Rhinolophus ferrumequinum: one gene and its partner. The protein of the gene in region 1 interacts with the protein of each later gene in a pairwise test. Links are inferred from orthologs where the notes say so. Each region holds a gene or a part of one and is shown on either strand. Other genes may lie near its edges. The genes, in order: TFAP2A and GSTO2.

Region 1 (10,763 bases):
GTGTGTGTCTGCGGTGGGAGGAGACTAAATCCAGAAGCCAGAAATGAAACAGAATCGTGAACTTCTTCACCTACTGAGAAACACTTTGATCTGGGATCCGACGCTGAAGCACCCCTGGGGGCTGCCGACTCGGATTCGCGAGGCCGGGAACTGTTCTGAACCTCGGGACTGTTCTGAATGAACCTGGTGGGCCGGTGGGGAACCGGGGACAGGGATCTGGGCCCCACTGCTTGCATCCAGATGCGCGGGACCTATCGGGACTGGCCCCATCTCCCGGCCTAGCCCTCCAACCCCCCATCTCGGGGTGGAGACTCTCCAAGCCCCAAAGTTTCGAGGGGGAGGAGAGCCATGGGAAGAGTGTAGATGCCCCTATTGCTCGAGTGCGTAAACACAGCCACTCGCGCTCACATCGCACCCAGCACACCCCAGCAGGCAGTCTGCCTCGGTTCCCCGGTCAGGGACTGACCGGGAAAGCGGGTTGGGGCTGTTGGGAAAAGCTGGAACTGATGGCGAGATTGCCGCGGCTATAAATCCATCACTTCCCAGGTCAGCTCCGCGAGGCGCTTGGGACTAGGGCTGGCGGAGTGAATTCCTGGGCTAACGCGCATGCGTCGGCAGGTAGCAACCCAGCTCTTTATGACCAGGTGAGATGTTGGTGAGCAGGTAAAAAAGGAGGATTTGCCCAAGCGATTCCAAGGAGCGGGCCCGGTCGAGCCCTATAGCCCATGCCCGGCGGGGACCAGTCGCCAGGAGCGCCGAGCCGCGATGTCCATACTTGCCAAAATGGGGGACTGGCAGGTACGGGGGTTTGACTGGGCTGGGGCCGAGGTGGGCGGGGGTGGAGCGGGGGAGGGGGGCGGGAGGGGGAGGCGGAGAGGAAGAGCCGTGGCCCAGGGCAGGAGAGTAGTAGGTGAGGCGCGCCTGGCAGCGCCCAGGAGTGTTCCCAGGAGAGAAAGAGGACAGGAAAAACGCGCGCAGGCGGCGGCAGCTGCGCTGGGGGCAACGTGCGCTGCCCGCGGGGCCCGGCTCTCGGGAAAGTTCGGCGTACGCTCTACAAGTGGCCCTGGGGGTCACTTGTGGTTTGCGCTACAGCCTTCTCCCAAACCCCAAGTAGAAACTGGGGAGGATGACAAATTCAGGAGTGGGGAGGGCGCAGGGCGGAGGCTGCGGTGCGCCGTGATGAGTGTTCCCTGCTTGCAATGCTTTAGGTCTTGCCCCAGACCCCAGGGCTGCGCGTGAGGTGGGGTTCTGGTGCACCTGTCTCTCCTTGTGCCTCCAAGTTTTGGGGACCTAGGAGGTGTGGAGAATGGAAAGGGGTCCGGAGAGGCGCGCGGCGAGCACGTTCTTTTCGGATATACTTCAAAGAGTTTGCGCAAAGTTTAGCTTCTCAGTCCGCTTCCTGAAGCCAGTTTTCTCTGCTTGGGCTCCGGATGGGGGTGACTGGATGGGGGTTGAATGGTGGATTATAAAGAAGAAGGTCTAAGATTTGCCGAAACCAAAGCTTGCTACACTTGGCCCTGCTAGGCCGCAGGCACCACAAGGCCAACTAGGCTCCGGATCCTGCCCGCCCTGAACCACGAACCCGGACCCCGGCCACGGGAGCATTCGCCCAGCGCTCTCCTTCTAACTTCCAGATGTTTCCCCTGTGGGAACTAGGGCGGCTTTGGCCAGGTTGGCGAGGGTAGCAGCCTCTCCCCTGTTGTCGATTTCGTAATGGGAACCCCGGGGCCCTCTTTTCGCCCCAGCAAAGCGAGGCCTGATAAGGGCGAGGTTCTGCTCGCCTAAGTGTGTAGGGAGATTCGAACCAAACGCCCCGATTTGCCAAAGAAAAGTCGAGGCCCTGCTCCTTCTGGGGCGAGTTCTTTCGCTTGTTTCAGATTTAGGCCATTAGAAGTAAAGTTCGGAGAAGTTCGGTCTTCACCACATTCCCTGGGGTTGGGGAAAGGAAGTCATATTGCAATATTTCTTTCCTTGCGCTCAATTGTTGTGTTTATCAACCGTGAGCTCTTTTATACCTCTGCCCCCAGTTAAATATCACTAAATGAAACTTCCTCCCCAAAGTTACACTAACTTTGTGGTTTAAGGATACAAATCCCACACCAAACACAAGTCCTGGGAAAGCACACCTTTCTCTCCCTGCTTCTGTGGGCCTCAGGGCCCTTCATTCTCTTCTCTGGAGGGTGAAAACTGGATAAAGTTCTTTGGCTGAGGTTTTTCGGGTTTCCTCTGTGAGGCGGAAAAACTGCTGCAGAATTCCTCTGCAGTGAGAAGGCGCTGGGAGTGCAGGCAGGGTTTGGGTCTGGGCCTCTAGTGGGCCCGACTAAGGTTCCGAAGCAGCTAGATTACAGCCTGAAGAGGAAAGGAGTGAGCCATGGGCCTGGCTCAGGCGGGGATCTGGGTGGGTGGGGGTACGGCAGATTTGGGACCAGGAGGGGCGGGATGCTCCGCCGAGCTTGGTTGGCCTTTTGGGCTCCGGGGTCCTACTGGGTGGTGACAACTGGAGAGAACAGAGTCATTGTGGCCCCTCGCCGTCTCTTTGTTTCTCTTGGTGTCTCTGTCTCTCATACAGATACTTGCTCTTCCCCCCCACGCCCCCAAATCGGGCCTGGACCCCCACCTCTAACCCCAGGCCTGGCGCTGCTGTCCTGGGGTCCGGGCGAGGCCGCAGCATTGACATGCAATCAAGCGACTTGTCGTGGTAATGACGCTCACACCAACGCGGCTCCGCTGGCTTCAGGGGCGACCGGGGTGCCTGCCCTGGCCTTTCTTCAGTGCCCATAACACTGGCGGCGGCGCTGAGCCCGCAGGCCCCGATCTGCACCTCAAAGGCGCCCTCGGCGGGAATACAACAACAGTTTAGCAGCCCCGGCGGGTGCGGAGCCGGAGATCTGCGGGGCGCGGGACAGCAAGGTGGGGGGTCGTGGAGAAGATGAAGGGCCAATGCCTTCCTCAGCCCACAAACTGAAAGAAAGAAAGCGAAACTTAGAGTTCCCTTAAGCACGCTGTGGCGACTTCTGGGGGTGGAAAATCCATGCTCCCAGGCCTACGATTTGGCCTACAGATCACGCTCTGCGGCTGCGGCCACCGCTGGGAAGGTGTCAGTCCCCCAGGCGGCCCATCTCCCGACTTCAAGCCGCTGAGGTGAACCCCAGGGCAGCCCCACAGAGTGAGTGGTGCTAGCACTAGAGCTGACTTTCCAGAGTGGAGTGAGGTGGGGAGCGGAGAACTAGGTTCAGCCTCGAGACTGTGCTAGTGTTCAGGGAGGGAAGGGAGGGCAGGGCAACACCCAGGGCTTCCGGAGGGAGTCCCCGGGCTCTGATTCCCTCTTCTAGCCCTAGTCCTCCTAACTTTTGTGGGGGAGGGGTTCTGGCCTACTCTGCGTGGCTTGAGAAATTTGCTGCGGTCTTCTGGAGGGAGAATTTCCCTTCCCCAGGCTGGGGGAGGGGGGCGGAGAGGGGCACTCTCTCCTTCTGCCTTTTTTCCACCTGTTAGGGAACGCTCAGATTTTCAACAGTTTCTACCTCACTTCGAGTTCGCAGTATGGAAACCTGGGAGGCCTGGGGATTTGCAGAAAACAGGCCCAGAAGGCACAGGGGTCGTTAGTAGAGCAGCTCTGAGGCGAGACCTACTCTTGTTGGGGAGTTTGCTGTGTTCGAGTGGGAAAAAGACAGAGCGAAACTTTTTTATGGAGGACAAATGAGGAAGCTCGGCCAGAGAAATGAATTACTCTGTATTTCGAGAATCACATCTTTGTATTTTATTTCTTCCTTTAAAAAAATTCACTAAAACAGAAGAAAAAAATGTAAAGCCCCGGTGGGGCGAGCAGGCTCCCGTGTAGAGCGGGATAGCCTAGACTGGCCAACCTGCACGAGGGGGTAGCTGCCGGGCCTCAGGGTTCGGCGTCAGCCGGGCACCGCGCGGCGAGTGCGCCCGCGTTAGTAACATCACCAAATCATGAAGGAACTCTTCCTGCTTTAATTAAAAAGGGGGATCTTGGGAAAACTGGAGCAGATTAGCACAGCGAAGAGTTGGTTCCCAGCGATTTATTTTGATGCATGCATGACACAGTGCTCACATGTCAGTATTTCGGCTCAACTCCAGAAGCGACTGTGAGTCTCCATAGGAGTTCTGTGTCCTTCTGCATGTCGCATCCGGGAAACCCTCAGCCCAAACACCATGTTGGTGTGTCACTCGGCCCTAGCTACATACAAACGAGAGGAAGATCATTTAACCCCCAGAGCTGTTCAGTAACCTTTTCAGGGTACAATTTTTATTTTACACGCGGCAATTAAAGGATCGCAAACCCCAGCCGAGCGACTGGAACCGTTTGGCAAAATCTCCAACCTGGAGGAAAGTGCAAAGCCAATAAAACTCCCAAGGCTCTGCGGCCTGAGGTGGTGCTGCCCCGAGCGGAGGCGATCTCTTGTTGGGTAAAAATCCTGGAGTGACTTCGCTGGTCTTGGTTTGGTGGTTATATTTAATTGCGAAAGAGATAATAATTTCTAATACAAGTGGACGGGGCCGAAAGGACAGCGCCGTTAGTGGCAGCAGGGGTGGGAAAAAGGTGCTGAGAGCCGAGCCCCAGGCGCGGCCGCTCGGGCCCTGCGCAGCGTCCGGCCTTTGCTCAGGGCATCTCCCGCGAGGAGGCGACGGAGGGGAAGGGGAGTGGGGAGGAATGGGAGGGGGGGTGGCACAGTTAGGACAGGGGTGTGCGGCGGCGCTAGGGGAGATTTCCTCGGCTCACAGGCAAGCGTGCGCTCTAGGAGCAAGTTCGCGGCTCGGAGAGGCCTTTATACCTGGGTCGGAGCGGCCGGCGGCAGATTGTGGTGCTGGCGAGTAATTGGACTATTGTTGATATGCTAATGAGGCGATTAGGCTGTTGGTAAAGAGCTGGAAAAAGGAAAAGTTTCTACCATTAGAGGGAGATCTCCGAGCGCACACGGGAGCTCTATCCCTTCTCTCCTCCTCCTCCTCCTTCTCACCCTCCTCCTCCTCCTTTTTGCCCTCCTCCTCCTCTCCCTCCTCCCTCCTCCTCCTCCTCCCTCCTCCTCCTCCTCCTCCTCCGCTCCCCGTCGCAGCCTGCACTTTGCGCTTACCCAGAGAGTAGCTCCACTTGGGTGCGAGGCGGAGAGGGGGCAAATCCGTTCACGCCGATCCATGAAAATGCTTTGGAAACTGACGGATAATATCAAGTACGAGGACTGCGAGGTAAGCGCGGCGCTGGCTCAGTTATCCTCGCGGCCTCAGGCTCCGAGCTCTACCTTCCCGCACCTCCTCGCCTCCAGCTGAGAAACGCGGGTGAGACAAACTTTCCCAAGCGCAGCGCTCGCCTCTCGGATTCGCCCGATGAACGCAGGGGAGAGGCTGGAGAGGGAGGATGTTGGATGCTCCCTTTTTCATTTCCCTCCTTGGAAGCCCATGTCCCACTTTCTCCCTTTTTCTGACCAATGTTGGCTGTGTCTAAGAGTAGAGCGAAGAGACAAGCATGGATTTTTTGAAGCAATTGCTGGCAGTTGGGCACGCGCCTGTGCACTCTGCGTGTCTCACCAGCGAGATTCTTGGGGCCCAAGTACCAGGAAGAGAAAGGAAAGAGAAAAAAACCCTTTTCCCCTTTTTAACCTCCTTTCTGATCCTTAATATTCCCTATTTTATTTATTTATTTTTCCTTGCTTCCGTCCTCCCCGCCCCCCTTTCTTAAAAGGCTCATTTCTGTTTGGAGAAGGGGTCCGCACACTTCGGTCTGAGCCTGGGTTGCATCTCCTAGTTAGCGGGTTCACTTTGAGAGCACTCATTTCCCAAATCACAACGGGGCCCGCCGCAGGTAGTCTACGTTATTCAAGAAGTTCTAAGCCGCTTCTCCCTCTGAGCTACTTGGTCGGCGCATCCCTGGGGTGGGGGTGGAGGACTGAGCCACACGGAGTCTGCTGGCTGCGGGTCCCCACGCATCTGCCCCTACAGGAGCCCAGCACTCGGCTGTGTGACCTGGCGGGGCTGCATGCGACCTCCAGTGCGGAGAGCCCGCCGGGCCAATAAAGCGCGCCGCACTGGAACCCATTTAAAAGCCCAGGGTCTCCGGATTTCGGCTTCTTGGGGCAGCCGGGGAAGCCCCAGCACCACCGGTCCGCCCGCGGGAGGCGCTGGGACCCGGCCTGGCGGCCGCCGCCCCAACCTCCCTCACAATCCCCGCTGAAATGATCCGATGATTCACGGGAGGGGAAGATGGAGGGGGCCGCGCCGGAGATTACCTAAATAAATAGGTGGGAGTCCCTGCTTTGGCTATTTTTCTTCTTCTTTTTTTTTTTCTTTTTGGCATTTGAAGTGGGAAAGCCAGGCGTGAAGGTCTGTGAGGACGCAGTGGCGGGGGTCTTGTCTTCACTTGAAATCAGAACCTGGTTTTATGTGAACGTTGTGTCACCGTCCCTTTCCCCCGTTCTTTCTGTAGACTATTTGAAATCTCACTCGTTTCCCGGGCCCTTCCTTTTCGTCCGACCCCGCTCCCCGCCCCCCATGGGGCAAGGGGTGACATCCCACCGGGACGCGCGCTTCTCTGGGGACTCCTGTGGTGCGCAGTGCAGGGCGCAGACACCCACGTCAGACCAGCTGCTTTGTTTTCAGGATGGGGGAACCTTTGAGAACTAGTCGGGGTGAAACTCTGCCCCTAAGTCTCCGAGGGTTTATTGTCCTGGTCGCCGCAGTAGCCCGGGGCTCGGGCATTCACTTTCGCGAAGGCCGAAACCCAGCTTCCAGCGCCGAGTCCGAACTTCCACGCCGCGCTAGGTGCCTATGGGACCTAGGTGGGAGGCGATGAATTTGCACCCCAAGAGAGAGACCCTGTGGGGGCGCATGTGAATGTGTGTGTGAGGCAGAAAAGGAAAACAGAAACGAGACGAGGAAGAGAATAGAGTGAAGGCTGTTTCAATAACTTTGACTGCGGTGGGAGAGCGCCGGAGCAGGGATTTCGGGTTTCCGAGCCGGATTGGGGCTGTCTAATTATGTCGGGGCTCTGCAGAGACACGCAGGAGGCGAGGTGCCGCTTGTTCTGACAACCCGGCGGGCAGACTGGCAGCGGCGGCAGCCTTGCCGCGCTGGGAGAGAGCGAGCAGTGTCATCAGGGGGGGCGTCGGGCGGGAGTGGCCCAGCCAGTCGGACGGGTTTGTGCCGGGAGCCGGGAGCCCGTGCCAGCAGCGCCCAGGCTGGGCCGCCTCGCATCTCTGCCTGCCCCGGGCCGCGTCCGGGCTCCGGTCCCCGAGCCCCTGCCCTGGAGAGCCGAGGGCGGGGCGGCAGCTGCCGCAGAGAGCACAGCGCAGGGTGTCCGAGGGAAACTCGCTCCGCGGCGGAGGCGAGGGCCGGTCCGGGGAGGGGCGCCGAGTTATGGAGGAGCGGCGCGGCAGCCGGCAGCAGAATCCCAAGTCCCAGGCCCGGCTGCGGAGCGGAGGAGCCCGCGGCCGGAGAGGGCGGGGAAACACCGCGGGTGCCGAGAGCCGGATGAACGCCTGGACGCGGTCGCCGGCAGCTCCTGTCCGCGACGCACGGCCCCCACGGTATCCCGAGGTCTGCCCCAGTCTTTTAGGTCCGATTGTCCTCTCTCGCTTCCTCTCCCCCTCCCCCTCCCCCGCGGCCTCCCCCTCCGTGAGCTCCGACTCGGCCCCCTCCTCCCTCCCTCCCTCCCTCCCTCTTTCCCTCCCTTCCTTTTCTCGGCCTCTCCCTCCTTCCCTCCCTCCCCTCTTCCCACTCCGGGCTCCTCTCCCTCGCCCACACTTTCTTTCTCACACACGCACGCAGACACATTCTCCCTCTCCGCGCTCTCTCCCTTCGTCTCCCTCTCTCCCTCTTTCTCTTTCACTTTTGCATGCCCTGCAACCTTTTAAAATGTTGCCCCTTCCCTGTGATTCGCCAGACGCCGCGCGGCGGCCCCCCGCGCGCTCGCCCGCTCCCTCTCTCGCCCGCTTTTTGTCTCTCGCGCTCCCGCTCCCCACCTCCGATTTGCTACACTGAGGCTCCCGTCAATGGACTGCATTGAGAGCCGGCTCCGGCGCGAGTTGCCTCTCCGCTTCACGCTCGATTTCCAGGCATTCTTCCCTTATTAAGTATTCGTGTAATATTAATAGTCATGAATATCTGCTATTAGGAGGCTCCAGGAACGCTGCCCAGCGTGGTTATTAGAAGCTCAAGCGAAGCCGCCGCTAAGAAAAGAGGGGGAGACACGGATTAAGGAACACGCGCGCACACACACATACACACACACACACACTTTTTCTTTTCCTTTTTTGGGGCCTTTCATTTTCTAAGGAACTTTGAATCATAACCGATCACGGCAGGATAGAGACCGTGGGTTCGACAAGCTGAAGGCGCCGCTCGAATCGGTGGTTCAAGTTCGGATGGACCAGAGCGGGGCTCCAGCGCTCGGGCGAGCGTCGGCGCGGTGACTGGAGTTCTGGGTGGCGCGGGGCTCCCGGCGCCTTTTGTGTGGGGCGTACTCGGGCGGCGGGGCAGCCGGGCTCTCCAGGCTTGCTTGGTTTCTTCCACCCTGACTCGTTACCCCAGACTCTTCGCAGATGTTAGTTCACAGTTTTTCAGCTATGGTGAGTCCCATCCCCCACCCCATCCCTGTTTCCTTAGGAATTCTATTCTGGAAACCTGGTGCTACGGAGCTGCCCAAAACCTCGGGTTTCACGCCCAGGTTTCCATCAGGGCACCCCTTTCCATTTGCATTTTCTTCTTTCCACTTTTCTCTCTTCCATTCTCAAATCGAATGCTTTACCCCGCGTCCCCGCTCCACCTCTCCCGCGCGCAGACCTACCTCGCAGCTACTTCCCAAGGCATGTTTCTCTCCACGTTCATCTTTATTTCCTTGCGTCTTCACTTGTTCTCGAGATGTGCTCAACATTTGAAGCTTAATCCGTTTGCAGTAAAAACGCAGCCCAGAGTGCCCCTTACCCTCGGGGCCGGGGCATTCCCTGGAACCAACTCTGTTCGCTTGTTTTGCAAGTGAATTGCAATAGAGGAACATAAAGTCAGGCGTTTCTTCTGCCCTTTGGGGCTGGGGTGAAAGGGGCGGGGGCCTCCGCCCCGGGGTGCACTTCTCTCTTTTAAACCCAATAAGGCTGAATCTTTCTATTTTAAACCTTGACTTGAAGTCCCCTTCTCCCCATTCATATCATAAACCGACCCTGTGGAGAAAAAGGCTCCTAACTGAGGAAGCGGAAAAGACAGACCCCCAACCTGCAGTTAAAACCTTCTTTAAGCTGGTAATTTGAACGTGTGCTTTCTTTACAGCCCCTCTACAAAATATGTTTCTATTTAAATAGTCATGAAATGCCAATAGTCTTTGAACGTGTATGATTTTTTCCTCCAAATAAATGGAAAAGGGTAAACAATAACGCACTAGCAGGCAAGTTCAAATACGGGGGAAAGAAAAGGCCGCTTCTACTGCTTAATATTTGGCAGGGATTTTAATCTTGCTTAAGGGAGGTTTCACACCCCAGCTTAACGGGCTGTATTCTAGGAGGCCCTTTTTTATATTTTCCCCCCGTTGAAAGAAAAGGCTATGGAGACTCTCTTTTATGCCTCCACATTTGCACAGCTTAATTCCTTGAGTTTTTGGAAGGGCCCGTTTCACTTCGGGGGTATTTTCCGAAATGAACAACTTAGAGCTCATTTCTTCCGGCGGCCTGCCGTCGGGAAGGGGCGGTTTCCCACCCAGTCTTGCGGAGTGGATTTAGTGTGGAAAGCTGTAACTCGACGCCTGATTTCTTGTTCTTCCCCCTTGCTCTCGCTCTCTTCTAGGACCGTCACGACGGCACCAGCAACGGGACTGCACGGTTGCCCCAGCTGGGCACTGTAGGTCAATCTCCCTACACGAGCGCCCCGCCGCTGTCCCACACCCCCAATGCCGACTTCCAGCCCCCCTATTTTCCCCCACCCTACCAGCCTATCTACCCCCAGTCGCAAGATCCTTACTCCCACGTCAACGACCCCTACAGCCTGAACCCCTTGCACGCCCAGCCGCAGCCGCAGCACCCGGGCTGGCCCGGCCAGAGGCAGAGCCAGGAGTCAGGGCTCCTGCACACGCACCGGGGGCTGCCCCACCAGTTGTCTGGCCTGGATCCTCGCAGGGATTACCGGCGACACGAGGACCTTCTGCACGGCCCACACGGGCTTGGCTCAGGACTCGGAGACCTCCCAATCCACTCCTTACCTCATGCCATCGAGGACGTCCCGGTAAGAGGCCGCGCGGATGGCTCGAGAGGGAGTGCAGCCCCTACTCACCCACCCCTAGAGAAGATGTCGGGAACATACAGCCGGTGGGCCCGGGTTTTCCTCAGTGGCGTTTACTTTTTCAAAATGTCATTTTAGATTTTGGGCGGGCGCTTTCAGGACCCACATGGACAACCGAATTAAAAAATTAAAAAGAAATTGAGAGTTCTGCCCCTAGAACAATGGTTCCTGGAGCTCCTCCAAACAATGCCTGCATTACCATTTCCACCAACACAAATAAATCAGACAAATGTCACCGTTAACAATATCTTACCCCCTCCAAGACAGTAAACTATTTCGATTAGGAGAGGATCTAATTCCACTGCTGAGTCCTGGCATGGTAATTTCTCCCTGTCCTGAAAAGGATGTTAAGTTCAACCGAAAGAGCTCATTAAATGCCCTAGTAATTTAAAAGAACGTGTAAAAGACATACTAAGAAAATTATTTTTACCGGATTTTGTAAGCACCAGTCATGTCTGAAAGTTATGTGTATACCCTACCCTGAT
Region 2 (10,451 bases), on another chromosome or scaffold:
ATCTTAGTTACTATCAATGTTGTATATTAGTTCAAGCAATTAGTATTAACAAAGAAATGACCAATCGTGGAGAAGAATATAGCTCAGGTTATAGCTCTGTAATCGTGTTACTTTATAGCTCTGTAATCGCGTACAATGTCAGCATACAAAGAAAAAACCTTGTCTCTAGAGAAAGAAATGGTTAAAGAAATACTCGAAGATGGGACTTACAGGGAAGACATATTGTTTAAGAAGACATTGCAAAGGGAGAAGGAAGAGGGAGTTGTCTGGCTTAGCAGGATGAGGGGCAAAGAACAGTAGAGATGGCTGCTGTCAAAAATGGTGGACAGGGAATATGGCATTTACAAGAAAGATGTTGGAGAATTAAAAAAAAAAGTAACGAAATTCATTGTACCATCTAGAAAGAAAATGAGCTAAAAGCTGGAGATGTGCACTATTACTTTCCTGCTCACATTCAGGGAAAAGGTGGTCTTAGGTACCATATGACCCCACCCTTCTGGCCACAGCTCAGCAAACCAGAAATGCCCCCACTCACACCCCCAGCTCAATCATCTTCTCTTTTAGAAATTTGGAACTGAGATACAGAGACTAAGGCAGTAAAGGTGTGAAAGCTTTGGAGCCATATATATATTAATAATTGGAGATTTGACAAACCAAAGCCCCATAAAAATAAAATTTTAAGCAAGTGGAAATTCAGAGCACTGCAAAGGGAACTGTATATAGAAAATAATATGGAATAGACATTTAAGGAGAAGCAGAGGAAAGACCAGGCAGGCCCAGATGGAAATGTGGACGAATGGCTGCCTGCAAATCTTTAGTTCCAATGAGGGCAAGCTATACTGACATCAGTGGGATTTCAGGAGACTTCGTATTTTTACAAGTATCCATATTTTTATGAGTGCCTGCTTACTTAAACTGGGATGAGTGGACTTCTCTTGCGGTGAGATGATATCAAAGACCGAAGTATTAAAACACTCACCCACCACAAGCATTAAAGCATGTGACACTACACCTGTCAGGTCTTCAGGTAGTCAGTCCCCTTTGAAGACTTTGCATGTCTTCCCTAAGAGGGAGCTGGGGAAGAAAAATTCTCTTCCCCAGCTCCCTCTGCAGCTGGGGCCAAGGCCCGGGACCTAGGCTCTCCAGTCAGATAGACACATGGTAGAGTTCAATTCAGAAACGAGCCATGTGAGGAAATAGGCTTGGTGGGGGGCACTGGTTCTGCTGGTGAGTGGCTGGTGGCAGAGCTTCTGGCTTTCAGGAGCTGTGGTGGGTGGTTGCAAGGTTAAATTCCCGGGGTAGAAACAGCTTTGGTGCTAGTGGCATTAGTTACTTGAGAGTCCAGGTTCTGGCAGTGACTCAAACTGTAACCTCTAGTTTCAGCTCACCGGCACTAGAAACTCTAGTTTCAGAGTGCTTTCCATCAGGCCAGTCTGAGCATGATTTTGGAATGTTCCAGTCTAGTTCCAAGCATATTTGTTCAGCCTCTCAACAATTCAGTGAGATAATCAGTGTCCTTTAAAGATATTTTTTGGCTCAAACTTGTCACGGTGCGTTCTATGATTTGGAACTTATAAAATCCTGACCGACACAATATCTTAGGCCACAAAACTGTTATACTAAGATCAGCATATAATCTCTGTGAACACAGGAATTAGTGCACCCTTGAAGTTTCTTGAACACTGATACTGGGACTATGAGGGTTCTATTGTGTTTTTATATGAGGCCGGTATAATTAGCCTCCCGTGATAAACTAAGAAATTGTTCTCTATCTAGATACCACCTTTGGTGGGAAGCTTTCTTAGAAGTAAAAATAAGGAAGACCGGTCTGGCCTAAAAGAAGAATTTCGTAAAGAATTCAGCAAGCTTGAGGAGGTAATCAATCACTTCTCCTAGCTTTTATCAGTAAATGATACACTGTATCTACTCTCTTCTTCCTTCTACTCTTTTCTTCATATTACCATTTCCCAAACACTTTATAGCAATTAGTAATAATAATACCAAGTAAAAATTTTTAGTTTACAACAGATTGCCATAAGCTACTGTGTTTAAGATGTAAACCAAAACACCTAAAAATATTGTGTCATGAGCTCGCTTTTAAAACATTTTGTTGTAGTGACATTAAAATAAGAAGGAAAAAGAGATATTCACCAACATTTCTACAATGTGTCACCTATTTTCTTTTTTCCAGTCTTTGTCCATATATTAAAAAAAATGTACATAACTATAATCAGAGCATAGATACCATTCTGTGTTCTTTTTCCACTTAGTATTATATAATAAACATTTTCCACCACAAAGCATTTGCCATGAATCTTACAGACACTTTTGTTTCATCTCCTTTCGGGTAGAGCTGCCATTTGGGTCTTTAGATTGAGTCTTCCTCTTGGCCTTGAGACATTCCAAATACTCAAGTAGATTCAATCAGTCTACAATGCAGAATGTTATGTGTGCCCTGAGAAAAACTAGTTTATAAAAGTTAAGTTGGTTTGGTGTTATCCAGAAAATATTCTGTTCCCTGCTTTGACAAAACTGTAATACCAATTCACCTTCTTAAATTTTAGAAACATACTATTTGTCCTTCCACAGCCATGGAACGAGCACCCAAATCAAGAAACAGAATATTAATTTTGGCTATTTTTTGTGCCTTATACAAATGGAATCATATAATTGGGTCTGGTTTCTTTCATACAGTATTAGGTTTGTGAAGTCCGTATACCTATATGTTGTACATAGTTCATTCCTATTCTTTGTATAGTGTTCCAATTTATGACTGTACCACAATTTTTTTTAATCCTTTTTACTCCCGATGGACAGTAAACATTTCCACTTTGGGGCTATTACAAATTATGTTACAAATAATGCTGCAGTGAACATTCTTATCTTTGGGTGAATATATGTTCACATTTCCAAGTAGAATTACTGGGTAATAGAGAATATATGCACTCAGCTTTAGTAGATACTGTTAAAACATGGTTGTACCAATTTACATTCCTATCAGCTGTGGTTCCACACTCTTGCTTTGTCTTGTTCATTTAGCAATTCTAATGGATGTATTAGAATGTGGTGTTACATTTGGTTCTAATTTGCATTTCCCTGATCACTAATGTAGTTGGAGCAAGCACCTTTTCAAGTGGTCATTGGCCTCTGGGACATCCTGTTTTGTGAAGTGCAAGACTTGCCCAATTTTCTAATGGGTGTTTGCCTTTTTTCTTTTGATTCCCAGTTCTTTCTATATTTTGAATACCAGTCTTTTGTTTATTACAAATATTTTGTACTCTATCCCTTATTTTATTTTTCTCCATTTTCCAGTTTATTTTGTTGATTGTTGTTGCTTCATCTCAAACCAACAGATTCTAAAGTTTCAACTGATCAAATAGACAAAAAGCCAACTTGGATATGTCAGGGTAAATACTGCTGCTCTCACCACTCTACTTAACTCACCTGTGTCATCTCTGATGATGTTTTACTAGCTGCACAATAAGTACTCTTATGCTGTTTAATGTTCAGGTTCTGACCAATAAGAAGACAACCTTCTTTGGAGGCAATTCGCTTTCTATGATTGATTACCTCATCTGGCCCTGGTTTGAACGGCTGGAAGGACTGGAGTTAACTGAGTAAGACATTTGAATGTTTTGTGTATATTTTAGGATAATGATAATTGGAATAGTATATGTCGACCTTTTTTCTGCACAGAAATTAAAATATTTCATACAACTGGTATGAATGGGAACAAGCAGACAGGAGGAAAGACTTGGGCATATTATCTACCTATACTCACCACTCCTCCCCATTTAGGAGGGGCAGGAGTTCTGTGACATGTAGTAAAATGTTTTAAAAGTAATTTATTCCTTCCCTCCTGATTAAAAATCCATAAGGATGTACATTTCTATAAGGCTGTCATGCAGGAGTGTATGATCAATGCTACCTCCCATTTACCAGTAAGATTCCCATACTGTTTTCCAAATTGTGTATTTTGAAGTTTGGCAGCCACTTTGGCTTACTCCCAACTCAGAGCTTAGAGCATTCAGGGTTACTTCTTTTTTCTTTATTCTCTAAAAAATTTTTTATTTATTAAAAACATTTTTTTAAGTATAGTTGGTATACAATACTGTATTAGTTTCAGGTGTACAGTGTAATGATTCGACATTTATATACCTTACAATGTGATTACCACAATAAGTCTAGTAATCATCTGTCACCATGCAAACTGACCACAATATTATTGACTATATCCCCCTTCACCTTTATCACCACTTCCCCGCTGGCAAAAAAAGTTTGATCTCTCTTTTTTTTTTTAAGTTTTCATTACAGTTGACATACAATATTATATTAGTTTCAGGTGTACAACATAGTGATTAGACATTTATGCAACTTATGAAGTGCTCACCCCAATAAGTTTAGTACCCATCTGACACCATTTATATAGTATTACTGACTATATTACCTGTGCTGTTCTTTATAGCCCTGTAACTTTTTTTGTAATTGGCAATTTGTACTTCTTAATCCCTTCCTTTTAGTTACAATCTGGCCATAGATGGGTTGTCTTTCATGTTAAAAAAGTTACCAGTCTCAGTTTGCAAAAGTTCTTACATTAACTGAGCAAGTCATTTTACTTTAAAATTACTGTTCCATAAAACAAAGACCTCTACAACATGTTCCAAATCTAATACAGGCATACCTTGGAGATATTGCAGGTTTGGTTCCAGACCATTGCAATGAAGCAAATATTGCAATAAAGTGAGTCACACAAATTTCCTGGTTTCCCAATGCATATAAAAGTTGTTTACACTATACTGTAGCCTGTTAAGTATGCAGTAGCTTTATGTCTAAACAATGTACATAACCTTAATTAAAAAATACTTTATTGCAAAAAATGCTAACCATTATCTGAGCCTTCAGTGAGTCATAATCTTTTAGAGAGTTTTGCCCTAGTAACATTAAAGATCAGTGATCAAAGAGCACCATAACAAATAATGAAAAAGTTTGAAATTCTCTGAGAATTACCAAAATGTGACACAGAGACACGAAGTGAACAAATGCTCTTGGGAAAATGGCACCGATAGATTTGTTCAATGCAGGGTTGCCCCATACCTTCAGTTTGTAAAAAATGAGTATCTGAGAAGTGCAATAAAACAAGGCCTGCCTGTATTCTATGATTACATGAATTTTAAAGAAATATTTTTAAAGAACTACTTTAAAAGGTTAGAGGAGAAAATGAAACTTCAGAGTGATGATATATAGGAGACTGCAATGCCTTCCTACTTAGTCTAACTCATGCCTTCATTCTTTCCATCTCCCACAGGTGTGTAGACCACACTCCAAAACTTAAGCTCTGGATGGCAGCCATGAGGAAAGATCCCACAGTATCAGCCCTCCTCCTTGATGTGAAGACCTATCGAGGTTTCTTAGATCTCTACTTGCAGGATAACCTCCAGGCCTGTGACTATGGGCTCTGATGGGGGCAAGTCAGCAATGAAGATATGTCTGATATTTTCCTTCACTAATAGGAATAACAACATGCTTTAATTTTACTGAGTGCTCTCATGTGTCATTGGATCACCTTCTCTGAGTTGACATCACAGCTTAACTGTGAGGTTTCCTCAAGGCCCTCCCGCAGAATGTAAACACATTTCCTGCTCCAGATGCTCACATGACTCTAAGGGTTCTAACAGAGTCTGTGCTGAAAATCTCTAAATCATTCTCTCTAGTGAGATCTAGACTTCAATCTAGATTTCTAACTACCCTTAGGACATTTCCACTTGGATACCCTGTTGTCATTTCAAAGATGCCCTTTCAAGTTTGTCTTCAGAATTCTAAGTTGAGAAAATTTCAATTCCTCATTCTTTCCTTTCCATCATCAACTGCATTTCATTCCTTTATTGCTATTGTTACCACTGAAGAGCAAACCCACATCACCTCAAAGCCAGGTGACTAGGTGACCTATTTGGTCTCCCAATCTCCAATTTCTATCCCATTCAAATCCTTCTTACCAAATCCCATGCTGGGCATATAGCAGGTGTCCCGTATATAATTAAATACTGTGAGGACCACATCCCTCAATTCAGTATGGAAGGCTGGATGAGTAATAGGTAATATTCACATTCAGAAATATTAATGCCATCTTCCATACACTTCCATAGCCAATTGGGCTTCTATTTAATTTTTTGTCATCCCATCACCTCCAGGAGAAGGTGGGTCGGAGTCTTTTATTCTACAGATGATTCAACTAAGGTCGCGAGGTTAAATGAGGCCTTAAAACGCTGGCAGAAATATCTGGAAAACACACCCAGTACTCTGTTCATACTAACAGAATTAGAGGGCTATATAGATCAGCCTGTCCCAATACAGCCTGGTTTCCTGTACTTAAACGTTAGAGCGCATAGCAATCACGTAAGGTCCACCGCTGGATTTCAGATTCAGTAGGTCCGAGGTGGGCCGGGAAGTCCACATTTGAAATGAGCACCCCCCATCCCCCCACCCCCGCCCCGCCCCGCCCCGCCCCATGGTGATGCAGAAGATCCCGGGCCCGCATCGACAAGCAGCTGAGAACCGGCTGACTTCACAAACGGCCTCGGGCCGCCCACCCTCGACAGCCACCAACGCCCAAGCTCTGCGCGGACCCGTATGAGACATCTGCGAGTCCCCAAGACCCCGGTATCCAGGAGCTTGTAACGCGGCTGCTCATTGGCTCAGCTCGGCACTGATTGGCTGGAGCCCTTCCAAAGGCTTTGAGGGTTGGCTGAAGCTCCTAGTGTCGTGGCCAGTTGGCGGGTAGGATCTTGTTCTAGGGGGTGGGTTCTGCCGCCTGCGGCGGTCGTTCTACTTCCGGCTTCGTCTGCCTCGCGGGGGTAAATGCTTCGGGATGTCTCTCTTGTCACCTCTTCCGGGTGGGTTGGTCCGGCCAGCGTTGCGTTTGAAGGCAAGAGGGGTTTAAGGTCAATTCTGAATTTTGGGAAGTTTCACGATTTCGGGGCCCTGAATAGGATTGCCAACTTTTAATTTTGCCCAATATGTTTTTGAAAGCCATACTATTTCATCAAAGAATTTAACATTTAAAAAAGTGCAAGGTCTATATAATCTAAGAATAAAGAACAGGTCTTTAAAGCAATACCTTTAACTCAAAGGGAAAAAAACATTAAATTTTTTTTATTTTTCTGATTTGGCTGGAAACAGGTAAAGATGACTCAAAATCACTAATTCTCAGCCCTGCATTGGCACCACCAGTGTAGTAGCTACGTTATAGGGAACCCGCAGGCAGGGGAATTTGGTCCCAGGGAATGTCCTGTCTTTGTGAGGACTATGGGTCTTACATGCTGCGTTCTAATAATAAAAATAATAGCTAATGTTGAATGCTTATTAGGTAATAAATATTAAGCAATTTTCATCCAGTATCTGAATTACCGGTAATCCTCCCCAAACCACCTGATGTGTTAGTACCATCAACTCTGAATTACAAATGAGAACCTTAGGGCATAGAAAGTTGTTGTGATTTGCCCAAGGTCACCAGCTGGTACATGCTGAAGGAGATTCAAATCAAGCCTGAACTCTTAGTCATTCAGACCATTCTTGAGATAAGAATTTACTTATGCTCCTGCTCCAGTCTCATTACTCAATCACTTCTAGCATTTAGAGGTTGAGCCAGGTGCGGATAGTAGCCACCTTTTTGACATACGACTGGTATTATGCTTGGGATTTAACCAAAAGTGTTGATGTACACCGTGTTGTTTGATTTTACAAATGTTAGACTTTGGCTGATTACAGGATCTTGAAAATCTGCCTTTGTTCATTCAAATGTAACTACATCAAAATGTTTAAAAATCTTTTGTCTTTGCTCCCTCACCCTGTGTGGGGACAGAGCCCCAAAAAGCACTTTCCAGGCTCTCAGCCTCACATAGAAAGGTGCTGGCTCAGGTAGTAAATGGCCATCGACTGTGATCAAATGGCCATCAGCTGTGGCTAGTTGGCCGTCAGCTGTAACCAGTGAGCCATTAGCCATGAATATAACTGCCGTGGCTAGGCTAGCAGAAGAAGGGGGGAGCTAGCAAGAAGATGGTGGCTGAGCCTGCAAGCGGCGCAGTGAGGGTTGAGAATTGTGTTGCTCCTGTTTCCTGTTTCTCCAACCCAGCCGCCAGCGAGAGTATAGAGATATGACTCCCCTACTTATGGCTCCGTGGGTGTTCCTTTTTGGCCTAGCCATATCCTGCGTTTTTGTGTGGGGAGTGGGGCCAGAGACCCCGCTGGACGCCCCGCACGACACTTGGCGTAGTCAGCAGGATCTCCTGCATGACACCCTGTAAAATAGAAATAGGGATAGGAAAGCAGAATCAAGTACTTATAAAGGAAGTCTCCTTTTGACTCTGCTTTCCCCAGTGGGGAGATGAAGTTCCTCCTCTCACAACTTTGGTCAAGAACAATCTTATTTGATATGTCCCAGATTTGTGGGTGTTGGGGTGTGTGTGTGTGTGTGTGTGTATGTGTGTTGAATTGGGTGAAGGTGGTCAAAAAATACAAGCTTCCAGTTATTATAAATAAGTCCTGGGGATGTAATGCACAAGATGACTACCTATAGTTAACACTGCTGTATGGTATAGCTGAAAGTTGCTAAGAGAGTATATCCTAAAAGTTCTCATCATGAGGAAAAAATATTTTTTGTAACTATACGAGTATAAGGAGATGGATGTTAACTAAACTTACTGTGGTAATCATTTCATAATATATGCATGTCAAGTCATTATGTGGTACACCTTAAATTCATACAGAGCTGTATGTCAATTATATCTCAAAACTGAAAAAAAAAGTTGTCCCAAAGATATTAGAACTTAAGATTCCCTAGGATCCTAACTTCCTGGAAACAAGTCCTGAATCTAGTCTGTTTGAAAATAGAACCCTTTTCTTCACTTATCTCACTCTTTGAACTTGTTGAACAATATCCAATTGGTGAACAATATCCAATTGGTGAATAATATCCAAACACCCAATAATGTAACCTTTCATTTAAATTAGGCTTCTGAAATATTAAGAGGAGTGTCCTCCAGTTTCTGCCACTATTGGAGAGAGGTGTGAGAAAAAATTTTTGAAAAACTGAAAAGTGCAAACTCCTCATCTTCTCAAAACAGATTCATTTAAACAGAGTGAAGAAATTATTTCTGTGGTGGCATTCTTTTCCTAGAAGACTTAAGTCATTAATACCTATGACTCAAGAGCCCCACATTTTTCAAACAGATCCTATTATATTTCAGGGAGCTGGAAACCAAATTGGAGTAGGTTAATATGGCCCTGTTACCATTTGTTTTGTGCTTGAGTGAGTCAGTATAATAGAGATGTAAACATGTATAATAACTTAAAAGGAATATTTACCAAGAGGATGTCAAAGAGGTGCCTACTGGATCTTAAAAAGGAAGTAGGGATAAGCTTAAAGGTCATAATTAAAATCTTTCTAGGAAATCTATAGTGTTCAATGGTAAGATTAAAAACCACATTATTGAAATGTAGCCTGCAGCATTCAGCCCATTCAATTGGCATTTAACTGGTAAATGGTGAAATAAATATTCTGAATTGAATTCTAATTCTGATGTGGTTGGCAAAGTTGAATTGCAGTGCATTTCATCTTTATGGATACAAAATTGGAATGCACAATGCTATTTAAAATGTGTTCTTATTCACTAGTATTAGTCATTAATTTTAAAGTACATGGAGCTTTACTATACTGAGAATGGCCTGCATGATTTCATTCGATATTCAAAGCCCATCAAGTAGGTATTATTTGTGTTTTCATTTACAGGTGAGAAAGATGAAGGCCAGAGAGGTTAGATATCTTACATAAGTGCCAAAGCCAGGGTTCAAATGTAGTGCCAAGTGAGAACCTTGACATTATATTGCTTCCCTTCAGAGGAAGAACTGTTTCCATCTATCTGTTCTCCCCTAACTACACCAAATAGGCTTGAGTTTCAGAAAGTGAGTTCCCATCCACAGATACACTTTTAATAAACAATATGTCCCAATTCTCAGAGTTGATTTCCTTTAAAAGGTGGGATCAAGGGAAAAAAAGCAAAACTTGGAAATATGTTTTCTTTGCCATAGTGGAAAGGTGAATCCAGGAACCTTTTATCTTACGAATGGAATTCCGTTTGGCCATTACTAACTCAGTCATTGTCAGCATAGACCAGGGATTGGCAAACTAAGGCCAGAGAGCCAAATCCAGCCCACTGCTGGTTTTGGTACAGTCTAAAAGCATTTTTAAATGGTTGAAAATAATCAAGAGAAGAATCATAATTTGCGATGTGTGAAAATTATGTAAAATTCGCCAAGAGTGAGCCCTAATGTAAACTTGGGTGGTAATGATGTGTCAGCGTAGGTTCATCTATGGTAAGAAATGTGCCTCTGATGCAGGATGTGGATGGTGGGGGGGGGCTGTGCATGTGTGGCGGTAGTAGGTATATGGGAACCTG

The links.
Region 2: the proteins of TFAP2A (region 1) and GSTO2 interact in binary tests that used the Homo sapiens proteins (3 or more experiments, as listed by UniProt). The two-hybrid records come from large-scale screens. The link is inferred for Rhinolophus ferrumequinum from reciprocal best matches to the Homo sapiens genes TFAP2A and GSTO2.

The regions. Positions count from the first base shown.
Region 1 is NC_046292.1:83,618,682-83,629,444, forward strand, and holds the start of TFAP2A (transcription factor AP-2-alpha), read left to right. Parts: upstream 1-6,265; 5' UTR 6,266-7,371; coding exon 7,372-7,551; intron 7,552-7,976; exon of another isoform or gene 7,977-8,098; intron 8,099-8,416; exon of another isoform or gene 8,417-8,555; coding exon of another isoform or gene 8,556-8,582; intron 8,583-9,786; coding exon 9,787-10,221; intron 10,222-10,763.
Region 2 is NC_046299.1:21,188,205-21,198,655, reverse strand, and holds the start of GSTO2 (glutathione S-transferase omega-2), read left to right. Parts: upstream 1-6,513; 5' UTR 6,514-6,865; coding exon 6,866-6,890; exon of another isoform or gene 6,891-6,938; intron 6,939-10,451. Other genes in the region: GSTO1 (glutathione S-transferase omega-1), read left to right, coding at 1,777-1,875, 3,511-3,617, 5,306-5,459. UniProt on the Homo sapiens protein: Exhibits glutathione-dependent thiol transferase activity. Has high dehydroascorbate reductase activity and may contribute to the recycling of ascorbic acid. Participates in the biotransformation of inorganic arsenic and reduces monomethylarsonic acid (MMA).